Linked DNA regions of Mus musculus: regions 1 and 3 are each reported to be linked to region 2. The links are microRNA targets in miRTarBase. Many come from high-throughput screens and were not tested one by one. Region 2 holds a microRNA gene; each other region holds the end of a gene's coding sequence.
The links. The annotated mature microRNA mmu-miR-155-5p reads UUAAUGCUAAUUGUGAUAGGGGU and lies in region 2 at 2,230-2,252, shown strand. An mRNA with a match to its seed (bases 2 to 7 or 8) in the 3' UTR can be bound and repressed. Matches are read on the target gene's strand: a 7mer-m8 pairs with bases 2 to 8, a 7mer-A1 pairs with bases 2 to 7 and ends in A, and an 8mer does both.

Region 1 (7,879 bases), not on the chromosome of region 2:
AATGTCACTTGTTTTTTGACGCAATGCTGGAATGGAACCAATTTCTTAGTCTTAGTGGTACATCTACCAACCTTTGTCCCTGTTGCCTGTTGAGGCAGATCCAGAGAAGTTCCCGATAATGAGTCTTGTTCAGCAAAAGAGAGGTTTTGGAATCACAGCTGCCATTGTTACAGCCATTGTGGTTACCGCAGGAACTGCTATGGCCCATCAAATTAATACTGCTGACACCATAAGTCAGATAGCAGAAAAATCGTCTTAAGTATTGCTTACCCTGCAAAGGGTGGATTCTCATATCACCTCAGGGTTAATGTTAGTGAATCAGAGAGTGGATATTTTACAACATAATATGGAACAGATGATGGATGTCATACAAATGAGTTGTGTGGCATCCACATCGCATGTGTGCATTACTCCCAATAGGTATATTAATAATTCTTTTATTAAAAGTACAGACCTAACAAATTACCTGAAGGGGAACTGGTTGCAGAAGCTGGAAAGGTTGCAGACGAGGCTGCAGATACAGATCCTGAACCTTATTAATGGGACCAGAGTGGAACCAGTTACCTCTTGGCTCACCTCTGTTTTTTCTTACTTTAAGGAATGGGTGGGAGTGATTTTGTTTGGTGCTGCCATATGCTGTGGACTGGTGTTCATGCTCTGGTTGGTATGCAAATTCAGAACCCAACAAAAAACGTGACAAGGTGATTATAACTCAGGCACTTTTAGCTATTGAAAACGGCTCCTCCCCTGAAATTTGGTTATCTATGCTCAAGAATTAGTTGGCATCTGAGTTCTCTGCTCTTGCACTCCACGGCACTGAGATGAGAGAGACTCAACGATCATTGATCAGCCCTTGCACATCACTGAGGTTTCCTCATTGCAAGCGATAGGGTGATCATGATTTCCCCACTAATTCATTTTTTGGCTGGCCTCTTTTGCAAAGTTCTCCCTAGGTCATTTAGCAGTTACTGTCACACAGCACTGTGGTATCCAGAGACAGGCAACTTTCCTCATGCACAGTCCAACCTAAGACACAGGGCCCGGTGGCGATAGGGTTACCCTATGACGGGTAAGGCTGTGAAACAGAGGAACGACCTAAAACAGGAGCCACGGCGGATGGACATAATTGCACAGGCCTAGTCCAGCCTCATTTTATTAAAACAAAAAGGGGGAGATGTGGGAAGCCACATGTGCCGTTGCAGAGTGGCACTGACTACTGCTGGCCACCATGCATAAGTTTGGACAACCAACCAATGTGTACATATGCAGTAAAGCTTTTTGCAAAGACACTGCCTGGCCTGGGCATGATAATGAGGCTTTGAGAGTATAACCAATCCGATGTGAGACATGCAAATGAGGTATGATAATGAGGCTCTGTGAGGTACAGAGAGAGTAGCCAATCAAATGAGGAACATGCAAATGAGGCTTAGTGCATAACCAATCCAGGTGTGAGACACGCCTCTCCTAGGCCTATATAGGCAGCACCAGTTCTGGGCTCGGGGTCTCTGCAATCAAGCTCTCCCAATAAATGTGTGCAGAAGGATCCTGTTGCAGCGTCGTTACTGCTGGCCAGTCTGGCGCGCGCAAGAAGCTGACAAACAAGATCGTGAGTTATCTCCAATTCCTGGCTCTAAGTGTATGAAGCTCACCTAGTGCTCCAGATGAGCACCAAGAAAACCACAGTGCTTTGAGATATTATTTCATGAAATATTCATTAAAATTTTAGTACAGTGGTTTGAGTATTTTTAACATTTTGTGTGTATGTCTGCCTCCACCTGTGCCTATGTATATGCCTGATGCCTAGACACCAGAAGAGGAAACTAGCATTACAGATGGCTATAAACCACCAGGTGGGTGCTGGCATTTGAACCCAGGTCCTCTGGAAGAAGAGCTAGTGCTCTTAACCACTGAGCTATGTCTCCTGCTATGTGAATACTTGCATCTGGAGACCCTTTAAAAATAAAACCTATCACTGTCCTATTCAAGTATGAAAATATTAGGCATACTCCTCACCTGGGTGTTAACGACATTTCTGGTAAACACAGTATAGCGTGTGAGCAAGATATGAACACAGTCCAAACCCCTGCAACCAGCTTGCTCAAGGTGGGAAAACAGACTTCAGCAACTGCCACAGCGAGTTTCTCAGCTGGCTCTTTTCTTGTGGTGCGCTAGTCTAGCCAAGGCGGCAGAAGGCTGGCCTATCTGCTCAGGCGAGTGTGTGTAGACTCCTGAGCATCAAACCACTTCCATGGTGGTCGTTGTCTTAACACTACCTCAGCAAGCCCAGAGCTCTTCTACTTAAAGACGTTTCTAGGTCCAAATCCTTCACCGTAATGATTTGAAATTGAAGAGTAAGCATGGCACACTAAATTTGGGAGAATGCCAAGGAAGTACAAGTGGGACCTCTTTTCGTGGTACAAGACCATGCCCATTTATAGACTCAAAAACCCCCATTTACTAGAAACCACACCTGTCAACATCAGCACATGATTCATACCAAGGCCCAATGAGACACATTAAATTTTCAAATAATGTCAACACCACCACAAGTTTAAGAATTTTAAGTACATTTTATTAACAATGAATCCCTTTGATAAGATTATGCTTCAGGAGGCTTTAATGCCCTTAACATAAACTGTACACATTGTACAAAAACAATACAACCACAATAACAACAACAAAAAAATCAAAGTGAGCAAAACCATTTTGGGACAAATCTTATTTAAATTATACACAACTCAATGAAATATTCTTAAGGAAAATATATAAATACTTTTTCTTTCTATGTTACAGTTATACAATATAAATCAGATTTCAATGTCTGTTCAGTGACCTACAAACACCAGAACCTCCAAAAATGTAGCAGCGTATTACTAAAAAAAAAAAAAAAAAGGTCATGTGGTCAGAGAGCATTAAATCTGAGATCCTCTTTATAATCCCTTACCACTTTTCAAAGCTAATTTAATTTACATCATTTGTTTTACAATGCATCATTAGGGTTTTTGACAGGCTAGTAATGGAACATTTTTCAACAATCATACATTAAAAGATTTTACCACTCCCGCTCTGCCCCAAGACTTTGCATCTTGTGCTAGATCAACCTAGTTGGGGAAATTGTAAGATATGTTTCCTTTTTTTTTGGCATAAATTAATTTTTCATACTAAGTATTATAGAGTCAAAATGTGCAATCCATGCATCTGCGGCAGTTATCCACCTAACTATAAAAATACTCAAAGGGGCGGAATCCCACACTCTTGTGAGTTGTATAAATGTACTGTAATGAACCCCCGGGGACCTGAAATGACAACGGCTCTTGTAAAGACTAGTGCAGACTCCTGTGTCTTCCTCAGCAGTGACCTCAGGGTCACTGGCAGGCTGAGGTGAGACTCAGTGTAGAGACACTCTCCAAGCTAAGAGACGTTGGAACAACAGGCTTTGTCAGTATGGAGGAAATGGAGACCTTCCCAACTCACACTCGGGAAAATCTGAAATGTTTATTGCAAGCAGCTCTTCTTAGAAGTCTCCTAAACAATTTTACTTTTCTTTCATGAACTGTGAATTTGGGACAAAATGGAAGTACAAGAAGAGGGGGAAAAACTTTACTTCCAAACTATATTTCCAAAGAGGTCACATGTTCTTCTCACACAAAATTAGCACCTCTTATCACAGGAGAATAACCACAATTATAATTTGAATGACAATTTTGTTTATTGCTTAATGGTCTGTGCTTTGAGTGGGGCACCAGGGGCATCAGCTGAAGGGGCTGAGAGTGCATGGAAACAGCAGTGGGCAGTTTACACACACACTAGCAGCCCCTACGCACATCTGGTCTCAGTGATGGAACCCAGCTTCAACTGTCTCAAGCTCTGGACAAGAGCCGAAAGCTCCTGAGGACACGGCTCCTGGTGACTTGGATACATCACCACAGCAACAGTGCACACACTTCCTAAGAGCCTTGCACTGCTGCTGTCTTGTGGGATGTCTCTACACTTACTCTTTATTAGAAACACTTAGGTCAGGGGACACTGTCTTCCTCCATTATACTCTAAGCAGAAACAGAAAAGCATAAGACATTTTAGAGCCTATTTTCTTATAAATACTAAATTTCTCACTTTTTTATTTGTCAGTACTTAGTATGTGAAGCTGAAATCTGTTCTTGAAAAAATTTCAATTAGAAATGACAATTTACAATTAGAAATTCACAGTTTACAACCAGCTTAACTGTTCAAACTCCTCCAAATTATTAAATAATTATCAATAGTACAAATTTATATGACTAAGATTAATTCTAAACTCTTGAAAAACTACGGTATTGACATTTTGGTAATATCTAATATTTATAGACAATTTTTCAATGATTGCTATTACCATTGACATCATTCATAACCTTTTCTGCTATAATTTAATAGTCTTAAACACCTATGCTAATCACTTGGCACTGCATGTCGTTTTCGTCATAAAAGTCTACTTTTATACATGTACTTAAAAAGAAATGTATTACACCTGTTGGTGAAACCATGGTTAAACCAAATAGCACTATAAATTTAAGCATAGACAATTTCCCCCAGTATACTGATCATCACAAAGCTCTGATATCTTCCCAAAGTAAGTGCTATAGGCAGATATGATCACACACACACACACACACACACACACACACACACCTTTCAAAGTAACAGTCAAAGTGAAAACACAATCCTTGGCTTAGGACACTAGGGCACAGCCTCAGGTTCATGATGGCTGACTTGGGCGCGAGAATGGGCATAGTTTTGTGTGAAGAAAAACAAACAAGAATAGTTATCATTAACTCTCAAGGGACGAAACCACAGATTTTCTACTCTGTTAACTGAGGTAGTGTTTAAAATGAATGTCTAAAATGTTAATCCCATTTATGAATAAGACTACATTACTTCCTTTGGAATTGTAACCATTATTTGGTCTAGTATCTCTGACATTTGGTTCTCTGGAAAGGCAGTTTTATTGTCCAAGACCAAAGACCAAGGTGATAGGCATGCTCTTTCAAGCACTGCTGACATTTAATGAACACGGGTTCAGTGATGAAGTTGAAAAGAAAGTTTTACCCTCACTGAATTTTCTGGGAAAATGCGAACTGTGCTGTAATGTGAGCAGCAGCTTAGAGCCCTTGTCTGCTTTGTTATCATGGAAGTTGCTATACAGTGCACAGAAGAACAACTCGCTCAAGTGCAGTCAAAGAGGAGTCAGGAGGGACAGGAAATGCTTCGTCTCAGTGCCAACTTTCAGTGCCAGCAAGTTCAAAGACAAATTTCTGTGAGTTATGTTTTCTAGTTCACAGGGTACTTTACAGCAGTCTTGCAAACAAGACCATTATGAGAAGGGTGTACGACATGGGAAAATATGGACCAATGTCTATGACATGTTAAAGCTGATGTGCAATTGTAAAATGGGTTACACAAAGGAATTGCAAAGGTCCTAGTCAGTCCTAGTCAGCTGGATGGTTTGTTCCAAGATAACCCTTTCACGCGTAAGCAGTCTAGTAATGATGTTCATGCTACTTTATGTACAAATTTGCATATATGTTTAATTCCTGTGAAGATTTCCAAGTCTCTTTATACATAAACAAATTAGACAGACAAAGTCTCGCCTTCATCAACTTCACAAATGTGATAAAGGCAATGACTATACTTTTAACTCACCTATAACTGCAATTTATGCAAAACAGGAACACTAACAAAAATTAAATTATCGCTGCTTTAAAATTTAGTAATTAAGGCTTTTCACCACAATTCTGAATCTTAATAACGAGTCTCAATGACGTTTTAATAGGACATATGGCTCTTCCTTTTTCCCATGGAATGTGTAAACTGCAGGCAAAGCTGTCTTTTCCTTGAGAGACTGCAGCCTCACTTCATGCTTCCTTTGCTTTGTCCAGACTGCTCATCTGGCTCAGTCCCTTGTAAGTGGTGAGAGGAGTGGAGGAGGTTGGGTACAATGTGCTCTGAACACGAGAAGTATTTACTCCTTACTACATCACAACCATAGTGAAAAACCTTAATTAGTAGAAATAGCCTTTAACAACGTATTGCAACAACCTGAAGCGACAGAGGACAAGTAAGCATCCTTATGCATCTAGCATCGTAAACTAACTTCCAAGTTCCGAGTGCTGAGGTGTTCCTTCTGCTGTGAAGTTATAAACCTCTGAAGTAGTGTTACAGACATTAAGAAGTGTGGAAAGGCGAGTGTGTTCCTCTGATACCAGCAGTTACAGCCCACGGGGTAACAGGATGCAGTCTCGGAGTCAGTGACTCCTGCTTTCCACAAATTAGTTAACAAACAAGGCATCTTTTGTATTTACCCTTGATTAAAAAGCATTCAGAAAACAACGGTGTGAAGGATGCGTCTTCATGTCCTGTTTTGTTCCACTGCCATTGCGCTTTGAAAATAAAAAAATAGAAAACCTATGTAGATATTCAGTGCTTGGCTCTTGCATATGATGGTAACTGAATTAAAACCATGGTAATGAACCACGAACCCCGAGAAGGGCCCAACGCGGGAGAGAAGTTGGCTTGGCTAGGAATGCCAGCAGTCCCAGCTGTTCTGTACCAATAACTGCTGGCCAGTGTCAGAAGGCTCTCCTGCCTCACTGTCAGCCAGTCAGTATCCTGTGGGGCTTTCAGGAAGTCCACAGTAGGAATACATATAGAGTATCCAGCTATAAACGTCATAAGCATGAGGTCAGGATTCAGCAGACTCATCAACTATAGGCTGAATTGGTGGAATTGCCAACACAGCCTCTGCTTCTTCATGCATCTAGGAAGAAGTAATAAACTGTTAATTTTTTAAAAAATAAAATTGGTATGTAATATAGACATAAACTTTCAACTTCAAATACAGAATAATTCTGGGAGACAAATTTCAGAACTACAGTCTTCCTTACTTGTAAAAACTGTACATCCTGAAATAACTCTTGTATGAACCGCCGACACTGAAGTCTAAATGTGCAGTGTGACAACAGATGAGAAACTTCAGAATAAAGGCATATGTCATCAAATGTTTGAGGATACTTCTCTTTAATGCTAAAATTAAAAGAGAGAACACGCCGTGATAAAATAGCACACGATATATTCACTCCACCCCAGCAAATGACACTGCTGCTAAGTTTCCCTCACCCCGGATACTGACTAGATGGAGTGTTAGCAACAGTGCCTTACTAGTATAAGGCAGTCAGTCAGTCAGCCAGCCAGTCAGTCTGTCTGTCTGTCTTTTCCTCCAGCCTTGACCAATGCCCCCATGCCTCACGCACTCCAGGCCCTCCTGCCTCCATCTTCCAGTGCCAGGATGACATGTGGATGCCACCATAGCTGGCTTACTGGGAAGCATTTCTAGTTTACACTTTAGACAGTTCAAGTGTCTGATTTTGAAAGAGTATCAAGATCTGAGTGCTTATTGTAAAGTTATTTTCCAGTAACACCAGGAAATTATGAATTGTATTTATTAGACTAGCACGACTACATAACATGCTCACACTGTAAGGCATTTAAGTTATTAGTTATCTCTGGCTGACTATCTTTCCATGAGGACAGCACGTCAGGAGCAGCCATGTGGGTGGGAGGCTGGGCTGACAGCCTCACTCTTGCAGCTCTGGACCACACGGCCAACACACATACAGAGCACACATATACGTCTTTAGACAACCACTGCTTGCACAACCCTGAGCTGTGCAAATAAAGATGATTTTCTCACAATTGTCATTCATCAGGCTCTGACTGAGAAACCCAGGTTAAGCAGGAACTCGCAGCAGCCTCGGCTGCCTTTCAAGCTTGTGCTCTTTAGGTCTCCTCAACTTTCTTGAGACGTGGTTGAGAGCCGGGCAGTGGTGGCGCACAACCTTTGATCCCA
Region 2 (7,879 bases):
GTGTGAGATACATGTGTGTGTGTGTGTTACCACAAAAAAATTACTAAAAATAAAAAGATCCAGTATAGGACATATTCTTCTCTGAGTACCTTAGCTGATAACATTTTCCCTGGCAAATCAGCAAGACTAGACAGATTGTGACATTCTATGCCTCCCTTATACCTCAAAATATTATCCTGAAGAAAAGTCTAATTATATTCTCCTGGAATGTCCTTAGGTTTAGGCTATACCACAGAGAAATGGTGATATGCCACATAGTGAATGGGACCTGGACTTACGATTTGTCTGAACTAAATATAGTGCTTAAGGTTGGTCGAGATTTTTACCTAAGGTCAAAAGAGTTGATTGCAATAGCAATTCCTAACATTATATTTTATTATTTATTGAGACGGGGTCCAATATAGCCCAAGCTGACCCCAGAGGTGATAAGTAATTGGGAACAGCCCTGAGCTCATGATCCTCCTAAGTCCATCTCTCAAGTCCTGAGATCAAAGGCTGCACCAGTGTCCATGTATGTGGTACTTGGGAATCAAACCTAGGCTTTTCATGTAGATAGATGATAGATAGATAGATAGATAGATAGATAGATAGATAGATAGATAGATAGATAGATAGGTGTGTATGTGTGCACACATGTATGTATATATGTAATATACATATATATGTATATATGGCTATACATATATATGTATATATGGCTATATATATATAGCCAGATGTGGTGGTATATGGCTATAATTCCAGAATTTGGGAGACTGAAGTGTAAGGTCATGAGTTCAAGGCCAGCCTAGGTTATATAGGGCAACCTTGGCTACCTATACTAAATATATTCTTGGTAATACCTTTATTCAGATGGTATCTTTAAAGGATAGAAACAGAACTTATAGATAAGTTATTTACTTAAATTGGAATGGGGTTATGTAGGCACTCATGCACACATGCACAGTTGCATATATTCTCCCTAATGGGTCAATAATATGGCATGAAGTAGAACACTAGAATCTTAATAGATTTACTGAGGACTTACTGAGTTCAATGCACTATGAAGAGAAAAGGTATTATTACAGTCTTTCTTTTGGCTGAAATAAAATCCAAGATTGAAACTGTGTAATTCACAGACTTTCCTCATGAAACCAGCTCATCTGAGAAAACAGCAAAGTTTAAAAAAGAAATACTATCAGTAAGTATGATATATTTCCTTGGTTTGGAAATTTCCAAGCCACGATATTCTGCCCTGTCAAAATATATTCACTGGGGAATTTTTAACTTGATGCATTTCTTTTGAACTTAATCACATTTCTACATCTAGCTGGTTTCATTATTAAAGAAAAGAAAAGGTGGTTCCCCTCTGGTCCTAAAGGGAACCACAGACTTGAGTGATGCTTGAACTTCTAGGTTCGCGTACAGTAACACTGAAACCAGAAACTTGTGGGAGAAATGTCACTTTATCTGAGAGAGTAAAATCCAACTCTAACAGGAAACAGCAAATTCATCTTTTTTCTTTTTCTAAACCACTCTGCTGGAGACAAGTCCCTTGAGTCAGAGCTCTTTAAGGCGCACTTCCTTTACATGGGTCAAACTGAAGCCACCGGTTTGTGAGTCCCCAAAGGAATCACTGGAGGACAACAGGAGCATTTTCAGATACCTTTCAGGGCAGACCTGCCCTGGCTGTACCCCCTATCTTGAAGAAAAAGAAAAACGAATAAGGTGAAAATCGCAACTACTATTTATAGAATCAAAATGGGTTCATCCATTGAGTTTTAACTTTCAAAAATCATAAAGTACCATCCTAAATATCTGAGATTTCTTGAATTGCCTAGTGACCTGTGGGATGTACGTCAGAATATTACCCAGAACTGAAGTTGTGTCCTTTGAACTTCAGCATTGTAGAACTATGAACCGTGGCTGTGTTAAAAATGATACATGTATTCAAATATTTCCACAGAATTTAAAGTTTGATTTTATAATTAGTTTTTAAATTGCAAACCTTACAAAAATTTTCCAAAATTTACTTAGAAGCATTTCAGAGCTCTTTTCTTTCAAAGCTGAAGTCTACCTTGCCTTCAGATTCATAATCGTTCACTCTACTTTATAACTAACTGTGTGCGTACACACAACTATTTCTTTTTCTCTTTGCAGGTGCTGCAAACCAGGAAGGGGAAGTGTGTGGTTTAAGTTGCATATCCCTTATCCTCTGGCTGCTGGAGGCTTGCTGAAGGCTGTATGCTGTTAATGCTAATTGTGATAGGGGTTTTGGCCTCTGACTGACTCCTACCTGTTAGCATTAACAGGACACAAGGCCTGTTACTAGCACTCACATGGAACAAATGGCCACCGTGGGAGGATGACAAGTCCAAGAGTCACCCTGCTGGATGAACGTAGATGTCAGACTCTATCATTTAATGTGCTAGTCATAACCTGGTTACTAGGATAGTCCACTGTAAGTGTTACGATAAATGTCATTTAAAAGATAGATCAGCAGTATCCTAAACAACATCTCAACTTCAAGCCCACATGTTTATTTTTTATCTTGAATGGAAAGTGAAACTTGTATCATTTTTATTTCAAAATTATGTTCATAACCATCTTCAATGATTCAACCAGAATACAAAATGAATGCACTAAAAAGGACATTTCTATATTTCTGTAGTTAAAATTCAGGACGGCCATTCTCGACTGACATCTAGGATTGTCTGGAATACCTCTTGTAAGACTTGGAATTGGCATTTTTTCCACATTACAATGTATTAGTCAACTTTGATTTAAAATTTGTAACTCTTGTGTTTTAGTGTAAGGAAAAATTTAGGGTTAGTGTTAGAGTTTAGGGCTAGGTAAGGAAAAACTGAGTCAACACTGAATGATTTTTTTAAAATCTATGAGCCAGCTGTTGGTAGTTTACTCCTTTAATCCCAGCACTCGGGAGGCAGAGACAGGCAGATGGCTGAGTCGAAGGCCAACCTGGTCTACAGAGTGAGCTCCAGGACAGCCTTAGCTACACAGAAAAATGCCTTATCAAAAAATTAAGAAAATAAGATGAAGTATTAAAAAGTGACATGACAAATCATTCCTGAGGGCTACCTATATATTCCTCACACGGTATAAATATTTAATTTAATTAATATTTAATTTCAAATATTCACATTTGAAATGAAACCCAAATCTGGGTTCAAGCTTACTGCTTTAGCTGCACAGTAAAGCTGTGTAGTAAGGAGACCCACGTTTCCTACGCATTTCTTCATGAATGCGGATGAAACTTTACAAGGTTGGTGTGCAGCTCACTGGAGATGAACAACTCTTTGTAAGGTAATAAAATCCCACAGTGATGTCTTAAAGCCAATCCAAAACTCACCCCGTTGCCTGACATAGGTAATAATTTGATATACAGAAGTTTAATGTTTGAATTCCTATGCAATTTTTCTCCACAGTGATATCACTGACGAACACATAGACAGCTGGACTTGTTATATTTAATTTATACCTGTTCTTTTTTTTTTTTTTTAAAGACTTTTTATTTATGTATATATATGTATATATATATTTATGTATATATGTAAGTACACTGTAGCTGTCTTCAGACACACCAGAAGAGGGAGTCAGATCTTGTTACGGATGGTTGTGAGCCACCATGTGGTTGCTGGGATTTGAACTCTGGACCTTCGGAAGAGCAGTCGGGTGCTCTTACCCACTGAGCCATCTCACCAGCCCTAATTTATACCTGTTCTGATAGTTCTCCTGAATATCTTGTCATTGTCTTCCCTATAGCCAAATAAATGTCTTTGAGTCTTTAGTTGGCTTAGAATACTTTTTGTTTGTGATGACCCTTTCTTTTGCAAAGTACAGACTGTGATTTCAGAAGACACACAAAAAAGACAACAATGGAATAAGTCACAAGGACAGTGAGAGGAATGCCCCTGCCTGCCATGACACAGACAGGGCACGCCACCCCCACTGCCCCACTGCCTTCTGCCGAGTACGCTGCCGACATAAATTCCTCCTCTCAACCCTTGGATGGAGCTTCAGGAGTCCTTGTACCGAGTCTCAATTCTTCAAAATCCTTTTTGCTGCCTACAACCACAAAGTCACAGAAAGCTAGGAACCCGCTGCGTTCTCTACATTACCCTCCAGCAGTTCCAATCAAAAGCTCTGAAATCATAAAGCACTGTAACACCTACTGCATGCTTAGGCAAATCACTTGCTCCATGTCTGTTTCTCCATCAGTGTGTGTATCTCTGTGATGTAATTTTATTAAGGCTTAGATGAAATACCACAAGAGGGAACACACTTTCTACCAGCATTTAAGTGATGAATACATACAAACCTTGAAACATGTATAAGTCCATAATCTAAATCGACGCAGCAGGCGTCCCTGGAACACGCCACCTCCTCAGCTATCATCCCACCCTAACCACCCACACAACCCAGACGTGGCCAGCAGGCTGGGTCTTCCCGGATGCCCAACTCTACTAGCTGACCTCTTGGCATCACAGATGGATTATTCCTGACCAACATTTCCAGTCATTCCAAAAATTCTTGGAGTATGAGTTAAGGCTGGGTGTGTTTGGAGTGGAGAGTAAGTAATGAGGAAGTTTGTGTGTGTGTGTGTGTGTGTGTGTGTGTGTGTGTGTGTGTGTGTGTGAGTAAAGGAAGGGCAGCCCAATTTCGTGCACAGAAGACTAAAGGGAATGAAGCACTGAATTACATAGGATGACCTGGGCACAGACCAGCCCCTGAAGCCATTGGCTGAGAGTTAGAAAACAAGTTTTTCCTGGTCTTCATGTGGGACTTCTAACAGTGAGAGCAGGGGCTGCCTCTGACTGTTGCCTGCCTGTGGGACCCTTTCAGGCTGCCTAATGGGCTGCCTTGTCTAGCCTCAACGAGAGAAGATGTGCCTAGCCTTAACTGCAACTTTTTATGCTAGGGCTGGTTGATATCCATGGGAGGCCTCCCCTTTTCTGAAGAGAAACAGAGTGGATGAGGTGGGAGAAAGGACTGGGAGGAGAGGAAGTTCTAGTCGGGATGTATAAGTAATTAGAAAAAGATTTTTTGTAAAGAAACTAACTAGGAAATAATTAGAAAAGGAAACCCAGCTTTTCTTGCTCGCTCTCATCAGCTAAATAAACCTAGTAGCAGAGGTAGGACAGGAGAGAAAGCTGGGACAGACTGAGGCACACATAGAAACTGTGGCATAACAGTCATTTCCTGAGAATAAATGGTCAGGGCATGAAAGAATGGGGAAACTTGAAGTAAAATACAAGTGGGAAAAACACGCGAACGAAGGAAATTAAATAAATACAGCTCAAAATTCCTAAGTGAGCAGACCCACTAAGGACCAAGAGACCGGCACAGCTACAGAATGTCAGAATCCCGTAACAACAAAAGCAAGGTCCCACAAGTGTCCAGCACAGAGCTTCAGGTTAAAATCAGACAAGAACCAGGCTGTCAGTCTTGTCAGCATTGTCACTTGCCAGAAGCCAACTGGGCTCTTTCTGAGTCCTGATAGGAAACTGTTTTCAAAATAGAATTCCGTATCTAGTCAAACAGCTGCTCAAAGCCAGCACAGCTAAAAGCCGGTGTAGGCACCCAGTTCACCTTGCCTTACGGATTTTCCCCTAGGAAGGCAGTGGGGAACAGCTCTAGGGAATGAGAGCCGGGCCTAGTGAATTTCGGTATATGATATTTTTATTTACAACATTTTCATAATAATGTTTATTACATATGTGTATATATATACACACACACACATATATATATACATATATATATACATACATATATATATACACACACACACACACACACATATATATATATATATATATAATCTAAAAAGAGAAAACTAGTTTTGGAGGCTAGCATCTGGTAGCATCTAACAGAACTCCGCTACCAGAATGCAAACTTATCCAGGTATCCCTGCGGGCGGCAGCACCTGTGAGAGTAGAGCAGCCTTGGTAAGATCACCTGCACTCTCTATGGTGATGAAACAGAAACACTGTCTTAACAAGTGGGAATTAAATAAGATGCTCACACCCTAATTCTAGGACTTGGAAGGCAGAGGCAGGAGGGCTGCATAGCCAGTTCCAGACCAGGTTTAACTACACACTGAGACGCTGGCTCAAATAAAACAACAGAGAAGCTCCGGGGAGGGAGGGGCCTAGGGGTGCTTAACACACTGGCACATAGTAGCGACACAGTTAACAGCATCGCCCATCTGCAAACACATTATTTCGAACATGGATGTTTACTAGAGCACTCTTTAAACAGCCCAAACTGGCGCACACACAGTGTATTTTCCCATGTGTCTATCCATGGGGAGGAGGCGCATGGACCTCCTTAAAGTCTGTATCTGCAGAGCAGGGACAAACACACATTGTATTAAAAGCTTTTATTTTAATTTACTCTACAAGTTTAAATTTTAGAACACTACTGGGTGGATTCGGTGTTCTCTGTCTGTCTGACTTCATCTTCAGTTACCTGTGAAGACAGCAACAGTTTTACTCCTCCGGCTCTTTCAGCCCACCCTGTGCACAGTTCAACCCCCACTCCCCCTCCTGTGAAGACCTGTCCCACTTCCTTCAGGAATTATCACAGAGTTTAACAACAACAAAACAAGTTCCGATATAAACCACCAAGTGTGGCCATTAAAAACTATATAACAGAAGGCATATTAACGTAGGCTTCCTAAGTTTCTCACCTTATTCTTATCTATAAAACAAAAGCATTACTATGAGAAAATTAGCAGGAGGGAAACACAGGGTATTCTTCATCAATGTGTCTTACTGCGGGCCCATGTCTATCTGGAAGAGACTGTTACAGACCCAGTGCAAAGGGTACCAGTAAGTTCCATGTTCCTAACCCATGGACACAAGTGGCCTGAAAAAGTAGGCAACTTGAAAATAAATGTCATGTGCGTAATCTGTTTGTCTGTAAGCCTTATTTTCAAGTTCAAAAGGTGACTGGAAATTAGACTAAGTAGGAAGAGCTGGTGAGGTAGGTTCACAGGGCAGCTATCAGACAACGAGAGTGAAAGAAGTCAAAAAAATTAACAACTTACATGGGCAGCTCAAACACTAAAGCCATGTTTGAATCTCAGTTCCAGGACATTCACATATTTAACAGTCATGGCAACTTTAAAGCTCAGAAGCCTTCATTTTTCAAATGCTCATTAAGTTTATAAAATTATTTTTTTTTCCATTTTTTATTAGGTATTTCGCTCATTTACATTTGCAATGCTATACCAAAAGTCCCCCATAGCCACCCACCCCCTCTCCCCTACCCACCCACTCCCCTTTTATGGCCCTGGCGTTCCCCTGTACTGGGGCATATAAAGTTTGCGTGTCCAATGGGCCTCTCTTTCCAGTGATGGCCGACTAGGCCATCTTTTGATGCATATGCAGCTAGAGTCAAGAGCTCCGGGGTACTGGTTAGTTCATAATGTTGTTCCACCTATAGGGTTGCAGATCCCTTTAGCTTCTTTGGTACTTTCTCTAGCTCCTTCATTGGAGGCCATGTGATCCATCCAATAGCCGACTGTGAGCATCCACTTCTATGTTTGCTAGGCCCAGGCATACTCTGACAAGAGACAGCTATATCAGGGTCCTTTCAGCATAATCTTGCTAGTGTATGCAATGGTGTCAGCATTTGGAAGCTGATTATGGGATGGATCCCCGGATATGCTAGTGTCTACATGGTCCATCCTTTTATCTCAGCTCCAAACTTTGTCTCTGTAACTCCTTCCAAGGGTGTTTTGTTCCCACTTCTAAGGAGGGGCATAGTGTTCACACTTCAGTCTTCATTTTTCTTGAGTTTCATGTGTTTAGGAAATTGTATCTTATATCTTGGGTGGGGACTCAATTAGAACTAACATAGCGGGCTGGTGAGA
Region 3 (7,879 bases), not on the chromosome of region 2:
TCTGTTTTCAATCTTGAACATTTTGTGTTCATGAGTAGTATTGGCTCTTTTCAAATTCTTTGACTCACTTTCTGTTACCACTTCTTTTTTCTAAGCGTGTTCCGGAAAATTTCAAACTGCATTCATTTTATAAACGTCTTAGTAGCACAATAGAATTTTGTGTAGTTTTGGAAATTATTTGGGGGAAAAAAAACCTACCAGATTTAAGCATAGCACAAACACAGACACACACACACAAAAACTTTCAGGTCCATTAATGACAAGTCATAATAGAGTGGATTAATTGTCTGAATCCAAAACAGAGCACAATACAAGGTTGGTGGCATGGCATGACAGAGTAGCTGATGTTACTGTCATGACACTCATACCTGCCTTCTCCCCTTTCTTGTTTTATATGACACAAGGTTTCACTATGTAGCCCTGGATGGCCTGTAACTCACAGAGATCCACTTGCCACTGCCTTTGAATGCTGATATTAAAGGCATGCATTACCATGCCTGGCTGAAGCTTAAATTTTAATACTTGACCTTTTAGGTATACAAACTGAAAGAAAAAGATTAGACTTTATTTTTATTAAATACAAGTATTATATCGATGTATATACTGTCTTAGGTATTTTAATTATTAGCAATTGCAATAAAAAAAGTTTGACATGCAGTATATTAGGTACTTGTCTTACACGTGTGACTTCTGATGCTCCCAGTATTCTTGAGGGTCCTATTTTAAGCCTTGTCTGTGTGTGGTCTTCCCTCATCCCTTCATCACCCTTCACCTCTCTTCAGTGGAGTGTGTTTCTGTTTCCAACTATTGAACTCCTCTTTCCTGTTCTCGTGTTCTGTGCTAGTAGCAGTGGACATTGTGGCTCATGTCTGCCTTTAGTTGTTAGGCCTGTGCAGTGCTTGCCGCTCTGTGGTACCGCCGAGAGCCAGGCTCCCTGTCTGTGGCAGCTGAGGTCTTGGATCTTGAATGTCCTACTTGCTCTGTACTCTCTAGTGAAGAAAGGGGGGTTGTTTGTTTGTTTGTTCTTTTATTTTATTGTCTGTATGCTTGTCTGTTGACCAGGTTGTATACCTGGTACTTGAGGAAAGCAGAAGGAAACCCCTCCCCCAAACTGGAGTTTAAAAACAAACAAACAAACAGTTATAAACTGCCATGTGGGCTCTTGGGTTTGAACCCATGTTCTCTAGAAGAGCATTCAGTGCTCTTATCCAGTGAGTTCTCTCTCCAGCCCCAGGAATAGAGTTTAAAGAACTAGGATTTGCCTCATTGCAGAGCCCGCTGACCATTGAGTTACCTCTCTTTGATGCCTCAGGACAGGAATCCTTAGCCTAAGCTAAGGATGATGTCCTCCTGCCATGTCTAGGAATGTTGGTGCTGCCCTCTATCTGCAGATGTACTTGGTGCTCTGGGGAGCACTTTGGTTGTACATCTGCTCAGCCACACCCACCAGTCCTGCTGCTCAGTTCCTCTATGTGACATTCTTGATATGTTTCTTCCCTAGTCCAAAGAATCCTCATCGGTGCTTAGCTGTGACATCTCTGTGGATGACAAGTACATTGTCACTGGCTCTGGGGACAAGAAAGCTACGGTTTATGAAGTTATTTATTAAGGACAAATCTTCGTGCAAACTGGACTCCTCCTCATAGCACTTTGCGCTGTTGTACTTTTCTGTTCACCCCTCTCCCATTCTAAAACCAAGGATTTCCAATACTCATTGCAGTTGTGGAGTTTAATCCCTTCCCATAGCCCCACTTCCTCCTTGCTATTGAATTGTGAATACTCATTAAGAACCTGTGATACCAAATCTTCAGCTATCGTCTTGGAAGAACATGGAATACCTAACAGTGAATGGAATCTTTAATTATGTATTATATCTGTAATATATTTATTTTGTTTAAAGAAGGCTTTCTAACAATGACTGACTAAATAAAGCTGTCCGCTCCTGCATTGATAATGAAGGTGCATTGTATTTGATGCTCCACCCCTCCCTTTTGGTGAGGGAGGGGAAAGGAAGGTTTAAAATAACTGATTTAAATGTCACTAAATGTAGACTATTGACTGTATAGAGATGTGAAATGTATAATTACACACGGAAGCAATATGTTGCTGTGTTGTTATGAGGTTGTTTTGTTTTATTTTCTACTTATATTAAAAACATTTGGAAATTTGGCTGTTTGAACAAGTAGAATATAACAGGCCAAGTACTATTCCTTTGAGTCTATTTGGGCAACTTTAACCAATATGTCTATAACTTTAGATTACATTCAACAAAAATAATTAGATGTTTTTCTTTTTTATTTTTTACTTGTTGACAAGTATCTTTGTAATATTTTTTAATTCCTTTTTTTATTGTATTATAGACAGATCAAAAATTAAATTGGGCCTCAAAGAGAGAACTTAATTTCTTCTAAATATTTTTGCCAAATTTCCTGGCAGAGGAAGCTGTGTGTCTCTGGGCAGTTGTGATGCTGTGAGACATGGCAGGCTGTTTTGTGTCATGCTCTTTAGGAGCTGTAGGTACAGGAGGACTGCTTGCCTACCGCTGTGCAAAGCAAGTCTTTCCCACACAAAGGCCAGCAGAGGAGGGTTTGCAGAGCCCACCCTCTGAAAGCCACAAAGAAGAGCCTCTCCCGGGATGGTGGCTTGCTTTATTTACCTCTGGTTCTTTCCATGTCTTAGTTGGATGTCCCTGAAATGGACACAGGCTGTGCCATTGTGCCAGAAACATTGTGTTATCTTTTATGTTGTTGTTGTTGTTGCTGTTAAAACTATAACATGTGACTCCTTTTTTATTATTATTTTTTGTTTGAATGCTTTAAAAAGATCTTTTAAGTCTGTGGATCTGCTGATGTACAGTGCCTTTGCTGCTATGGATCAAAATCAAGAACTGTGTAGATAAACTTTATTGTATAAGTAGAAAAATCACTTAATTTCATACTAGAAATGGATGGATGCTGCAAGCTGAAATGGACTGTCATTGACGTTCTTTGTGTGGTAGCAAAAAAAATGGTGTCTTAAGTGCTTAGTGTTTGATGTCATTAACAGTTTCATAAAACTCTACAGTGTAGAAAGATTTTGATACTAAACTGTGCATTGTACATAGTTCTAACGCATTGTGTTGGCCACCAGTACTTCTATGATGGTAGATTGTTTGTGCATTCAGACTTTTAAGCATTAAACATAAATAACTTCTAGAATGATTATTTTCTAATTATTTTTGCTAATTGCTTTGTCTATGCCACTCCCTATATTAAAATCACTAGTTATATTCAAGTCAGATTGTTAAGTACTATGGGTTTTGAACTGTTTCTTTTTTTTTTTTTTTTTTTTTAATTTTTCTTTTGAGATAACCCAGAAAGCATGAAAGAAGTTATGGAAGGCAGGTGGTTGCCAAGTATTTACTGAGCCTCTCATTTTGTTGACAGTCTTTCATCTAGAAGCAGTCCAAAACTCTCAAACTTGAACCATTTAGATTTTTACTGTCATTCTGGTAAACTAGCCACTTAAAGCTACTTAAACTTAACTCTTGGAACTAATTAATATTAGAAACCTTTTTTTGCCAGTAATACAGACTAAATTTCAAGTGCTCAATAGCTCCACAGGAGCTAACAGCTATTGTACTGGACCTCACAGATTTTGGTAATGTTTCCCACACTGTTGTGAATGCTCTGGAGCTAACACAGCATTCAGAATTTGACAGATTGGACCATTGCCAAGTGTGGGGGTTTGAGGACTTTTCAAAAAAAACACACAAGTTTCTGGAAGCATCCTGGGTTAGATTTTTTTTTTTTTTAAGACTAGGGCAAAGAAGAACTTGAATCCTAATTTGTGGGACAGGATTTGGGATCGTCATGGTAATCTGCAGTGATCAGCCATAGGAGACCCAGCTAGGTACTAAGTGAGTGAATTCCAGCGTTATTCACCCATGTAGACCAAATCAGCAAGTCCAGTGAGATGCCATAAGCTGGCTGCATTGCAGGATGGTATGCAAATCCACTGAAGCTGCTGAGAAATAAGAGATCATTTCTTAAGATAGTAAGTGACTATCCATAGAGATCAACTCGAGGTGGGGAGACACTCTTTGTTGGGCGTGGAAGGAATAATGGATATAGAGAGGGCCTTGAACTTCTGTTAGTTACTCGTCGGCATGGTTCTGACAACATAGAAAGTCAGAAGGAAAAAACACGTTTGCACATCAGAAAACACAACTTATATGTCTGGTAGGGTTACCCAGAGAGGCACAGAGAATTGGCTTTATAAACTGACTCTGTGGCAGTTGTTGTCGATAGATAATGCTGAGAGCTTATCCATTCCCCAGTACTGGGCTTATAAGAGTATATTTTTCTTATCTCTGTGACAGAACACCTGGTGGAAACAATTTAAGGGAGGATAGTTGGGTTGGGGGGCAGAGGGGCAGGCGAATTGTTCGGTTGCTTTTTTGCTCACTGTTACAGAGCTATTTCAGTCCAGCAGAAAAGGCATGGTAACAGTATTGGCTCCATTTGTGATTGCAGGCAGAGGCTTTAATCACATGGTGCTGACTGGGAAGCACAGTTCACAGACTGGAACCAGGGGCAGTAAAACCTCCAGAGACCCCCACCCCTAGTGACCTCTAGTGACTACTGCTAGGCCTCTTAAAAGCTCCACTGCCTCCCCCAAATAATACTACTAGCTGGGGAATAAGGTCTAGAATCAAGAGGCATACCTGTATAAGTTGGAGGCCTGTCTTAATGTACACAGAAGTTTTGCCATAATTATTGAACTATAAAGGTAATTTTAAGGGTCTGGGACTATGCCTCTGGTGTGGCAAGTGCTGATGATCTGATACCTCTGAAAAGAAGGAAAATAAGTAATTACTGAAAGTCAGTTGCTGCTTTCACCATAAATTATGCTCTTTGTATAGTTCTTGCAGAGTCCGAAGAACAAAGAAGAGGCATCTCTCTCCAAAGCAAGAGAAAATTTAGAATGGGAGAACAGAGTTGAGTAAACAAACTATAGAAAAAGGAAAAGGCAGGTCAAAGCAGCCATTGGACCTTCCTAGACAGGCGGTTCTGCTGCAAAGTGGCAGACCTCCAGATTTCAAAGCTGCATACCTCTCTGAGCTGATACTTAGCAAAATGGCTTCATTGGGGTCTACCTGGAATATTGTATGTGCCTGCAACACTTAGAAGTGCTGGGAATTAAACACTAGGTTCAAACTACATCACACAATCACAAAATTCCTGCCAACCGAGAACAAAAGATGGCATTCTGGACAGATATGCCAACCCGGCGAGCAGCCTGAACATGAGCCAGGAGGATTGGTTGTTTTTTGGGTGCCTCAGTGGACCTTCATGGCCTGGTGCTGTACTGAAAACGGACTAGGATATTTGTGGATTTATTTCTGGTAATAGTAAGAAACTTAGCCCCGAGATTCATTGTCCAACCTTGAATAAGCAATTACAAAAATCAGTTTTAAAAAAGGTGCTAATTCAGCTATATTCCAGAGAGATCTAGCGTTTCAGTGGTGACCTGGATCTTGCCAGTGCTCGGGTTCTGGGGACATTTGTCATAGAGCAGTAGCAACTGCTGTCTCTCTTCTTTTGAGCTAATTCCATTTATTCACTTTGGGGTGCTGACACATTATACATTGGCAATGGAAATGGTTTATTTTCAGTCGCTTGAATACAGCACAAAGGGTTTTATGAGAGTGTTCAAACACTATTGAGCTAAGGGCAGAGAGAACTCTGCCTTGTTAAGCTGTAGTGGCTGTTTCCTTTTGATGGGGTGTTTGACAAGAGGTGTAATGGGTGGTAGAATTTTGAACCTCCATGTTAGAAGTTTGCAGGATAGCTGGGCTTCTAAGCTACAGACTTCTCAGCTGGGACTTTCATAGTTGCCTGCAGATAATTCCCATAGGACTGACCTTAGTCTAGAGTACTATGAGCACAGGGGCCCTGTTTGATCTCACAGTAGGCCCAGCAAGGAGAGAGGGGCGGTCATAGTTCTGTTTATATAGAAAGGAAAAGGTCACAAGGGAAATGCTATTTATCAAAACTCTGGTGGGAATTTGAGGGGCTAGCAGACTCGAAACTGGTCCAGAATCACCCTGTGTACAGCAGAACTGGACCAGAAATGGGAAGGGGCATTCACAGTGCTTCCACCTAATTGTGCAGTGCTCCATTTCATCCAGGTCATACAACTTGAAAACTCCTCTGTTCCATCGCAGATTGTCTTTATAGTTCCTGTGCTGTGACCCCCTCCATAGGCTAAATGTTCTGGTACCTCCTAGGAAACTCTTGGTTGTGAGTTGAACTAGGATTGATTATTTTTCCTCTTGGGAGGCCTTGAAGTTCTAGAAGGACTCAGTAGGAATTCGTCATGAGAGACCTGTGATAAACAGACCTACCTTATCATAGGCTGCTAGAAAATGGACCAGAAGAGATGCCCTCAAGAAGCAAGGAACAATGGGAGATGCCCAAACTAGTGTCCTGCAAGCAGACCATTGTCCCAGACTTTATAACTTCCCATTACTTGAAGAACTGCAAATACTTCAATCCCGGTAGAGTTTAGCTTAATAAGGAGAAGCCAGGTACAGCTGTGACTAAAGTACAGCTCCTCCCCCCAAAACAAAGCTTTGGAGATTCATTGAAATCAGCCGTTCAAGCTTATTGTTAAATACCCATCACATGTTAGTAGTTCTTCATGCTTTCTCTAAGCAGTCATGTTAATGAAATCTGATTTCCACTTTTATGGCAGGATCAGGAAAATTAGTTATGGTTCCCACAGTGATAGTCAATTCCTCTCTCCATGACAATTTCTGGGCACCATGGTTTGTAGAACAAGAACATTCCTCTGATTGCAGGAAGTCTGAGGTACTTGCTGGAACAGGACCTTGGTTCGCTGCCTGTAGTGTAAGCAATGTTCTTTGATAGCATTTGCATAATTCCACAGTGAGTGTTAGTGGGGGCTTAGGTGATCAGGAATGAATGGACTTTGCTGCAGCCCCCAGAGCGTGGGATCCCATGTCAGGCCACCTTAACTTGAACGTGGAGTGTGAAGAGTTCGAAGTGCCCTGCTGAGCTCAGCAGATAGTGATTTTTGTGCAGCCCCAGCTTTAAGTGGGAGCTCGTAACCCTACTCCACATGGGCTACTTGGGACTTCATACCATTTCTACCTCACTGCACGTCACGTTTTTGTTGTTTGAATGCAACATCCCCACCACACCCCTAGGATCTTCAAAAACATGAGGTCCGCAGGACCTTGTTATTTGTATCATATTACATCACATTAGATGTGTAAAACTTGGAAGTTCATGACCCAATCACCGACCTGCCGGGGAAATGAGATAAGGTGAATGGGTTGCTTCAGCTTCTGGGGTTTTCTTTAATGTTTTGAAGTCTTGTGTTAGATGTGAGTGTGGTGTTGTACCTTTCACCTCAGGCTTCTACATTTCCATATAACTGGCATTTACTTCTCGAAGAACCAAAATGTAAACTTGGACCGAAAACAAAAAAATCCAACTGTACTGAACTGTCTCTGGCCTTTAATTTCCTTTAAAAGACATTAGAAATGTCCCCCTTGGCAGAAAATCAAACAAGGAGGTCTCTGATTCTGTGCTCTGTGCCTGTGTTGTCACTGTTTTCAGTACTGAGAAGCACTAAGTTACCACGACACCCACCACCTGAGGATGCTTTGCTTCCCGCTTTCCTGTCTCTGTCTCTGTTTCAATCCCTCTTCCTGAAGGAAGAGGGTCTCAAACTGCTTTTAAATCTTTAGGCCCACAAGTATTTAGGGGCACAGAATGCTTTAGGTCTTTTGAAGAGATGTGATCCAGGCACGATGGCACAACACCTGTAATCAGCACGTAGAGGTCAAGGTGGGAAGCGCAGAAGTCCA

Region 1: miRTarBase lists Rictor as a target of mmu-miR-155-5p. Seed matches in the 3' UTR shown: 7mer-A1 at 2,617-2,623.
Region 3: the mRNA of Tle4 is a reported target of mmu-miR-155-5p. Seed matches in the 3' UTR shown: 8mer at 3,171-3,178.

Annotation. Positions count from the first base shown.
Region 1 is chr15:6,795,073-6,802,951 of GRCm38, reverse strand. It overlaps Rictor (RPTOR independent companion of MTOR, complex 2), which reads right to left. Exons shown (of 38, transcript NM_030168.3): 37 at 6,918-7,056; 38 at 2,551-6,790. The coding sequence ends at 6,716. Among named protein-coding and RNA genes, the nearest start is that of Osmr, 75 kb to the left of the region's middle.
Region 2 is chr16:84,711,914-84,719,792 of GRCm38, forward strand. Mir155 (microRNA 155) reads left to right here and starts at 2,227; the gene lies at 2,227-2,291. It overlaps Mrpl39 (mitochondrial ribosomal protein L39), which reads right to left. Exons shown (of 10, transcript NM_017404.5): 10 at 6,368-6,471. The coding sequence ends at 6,421. It overlaps Mir155hg (Mir155 host gene (non-protein coding)), which reads left to right and starts at 1,110. Exons shown (of 2, transcript NR_132106.1): 1 at 1,110-1,180; 2 at 2,140-3,332.
Region 3 is chr19:14,443,464-14,451,342 of GRCm38, reverse strand. Tle4 (transducin-like enhancer of split 4) reads left to right here. Exons shown (of 20, transcript NM_011600.3): 20 at 1,502-3,271. The coding sequence ends at 1,609. Among named protein-coding and RNA genes, the nearest start is that of Gm8630, 11 kb to the right of the region's middle.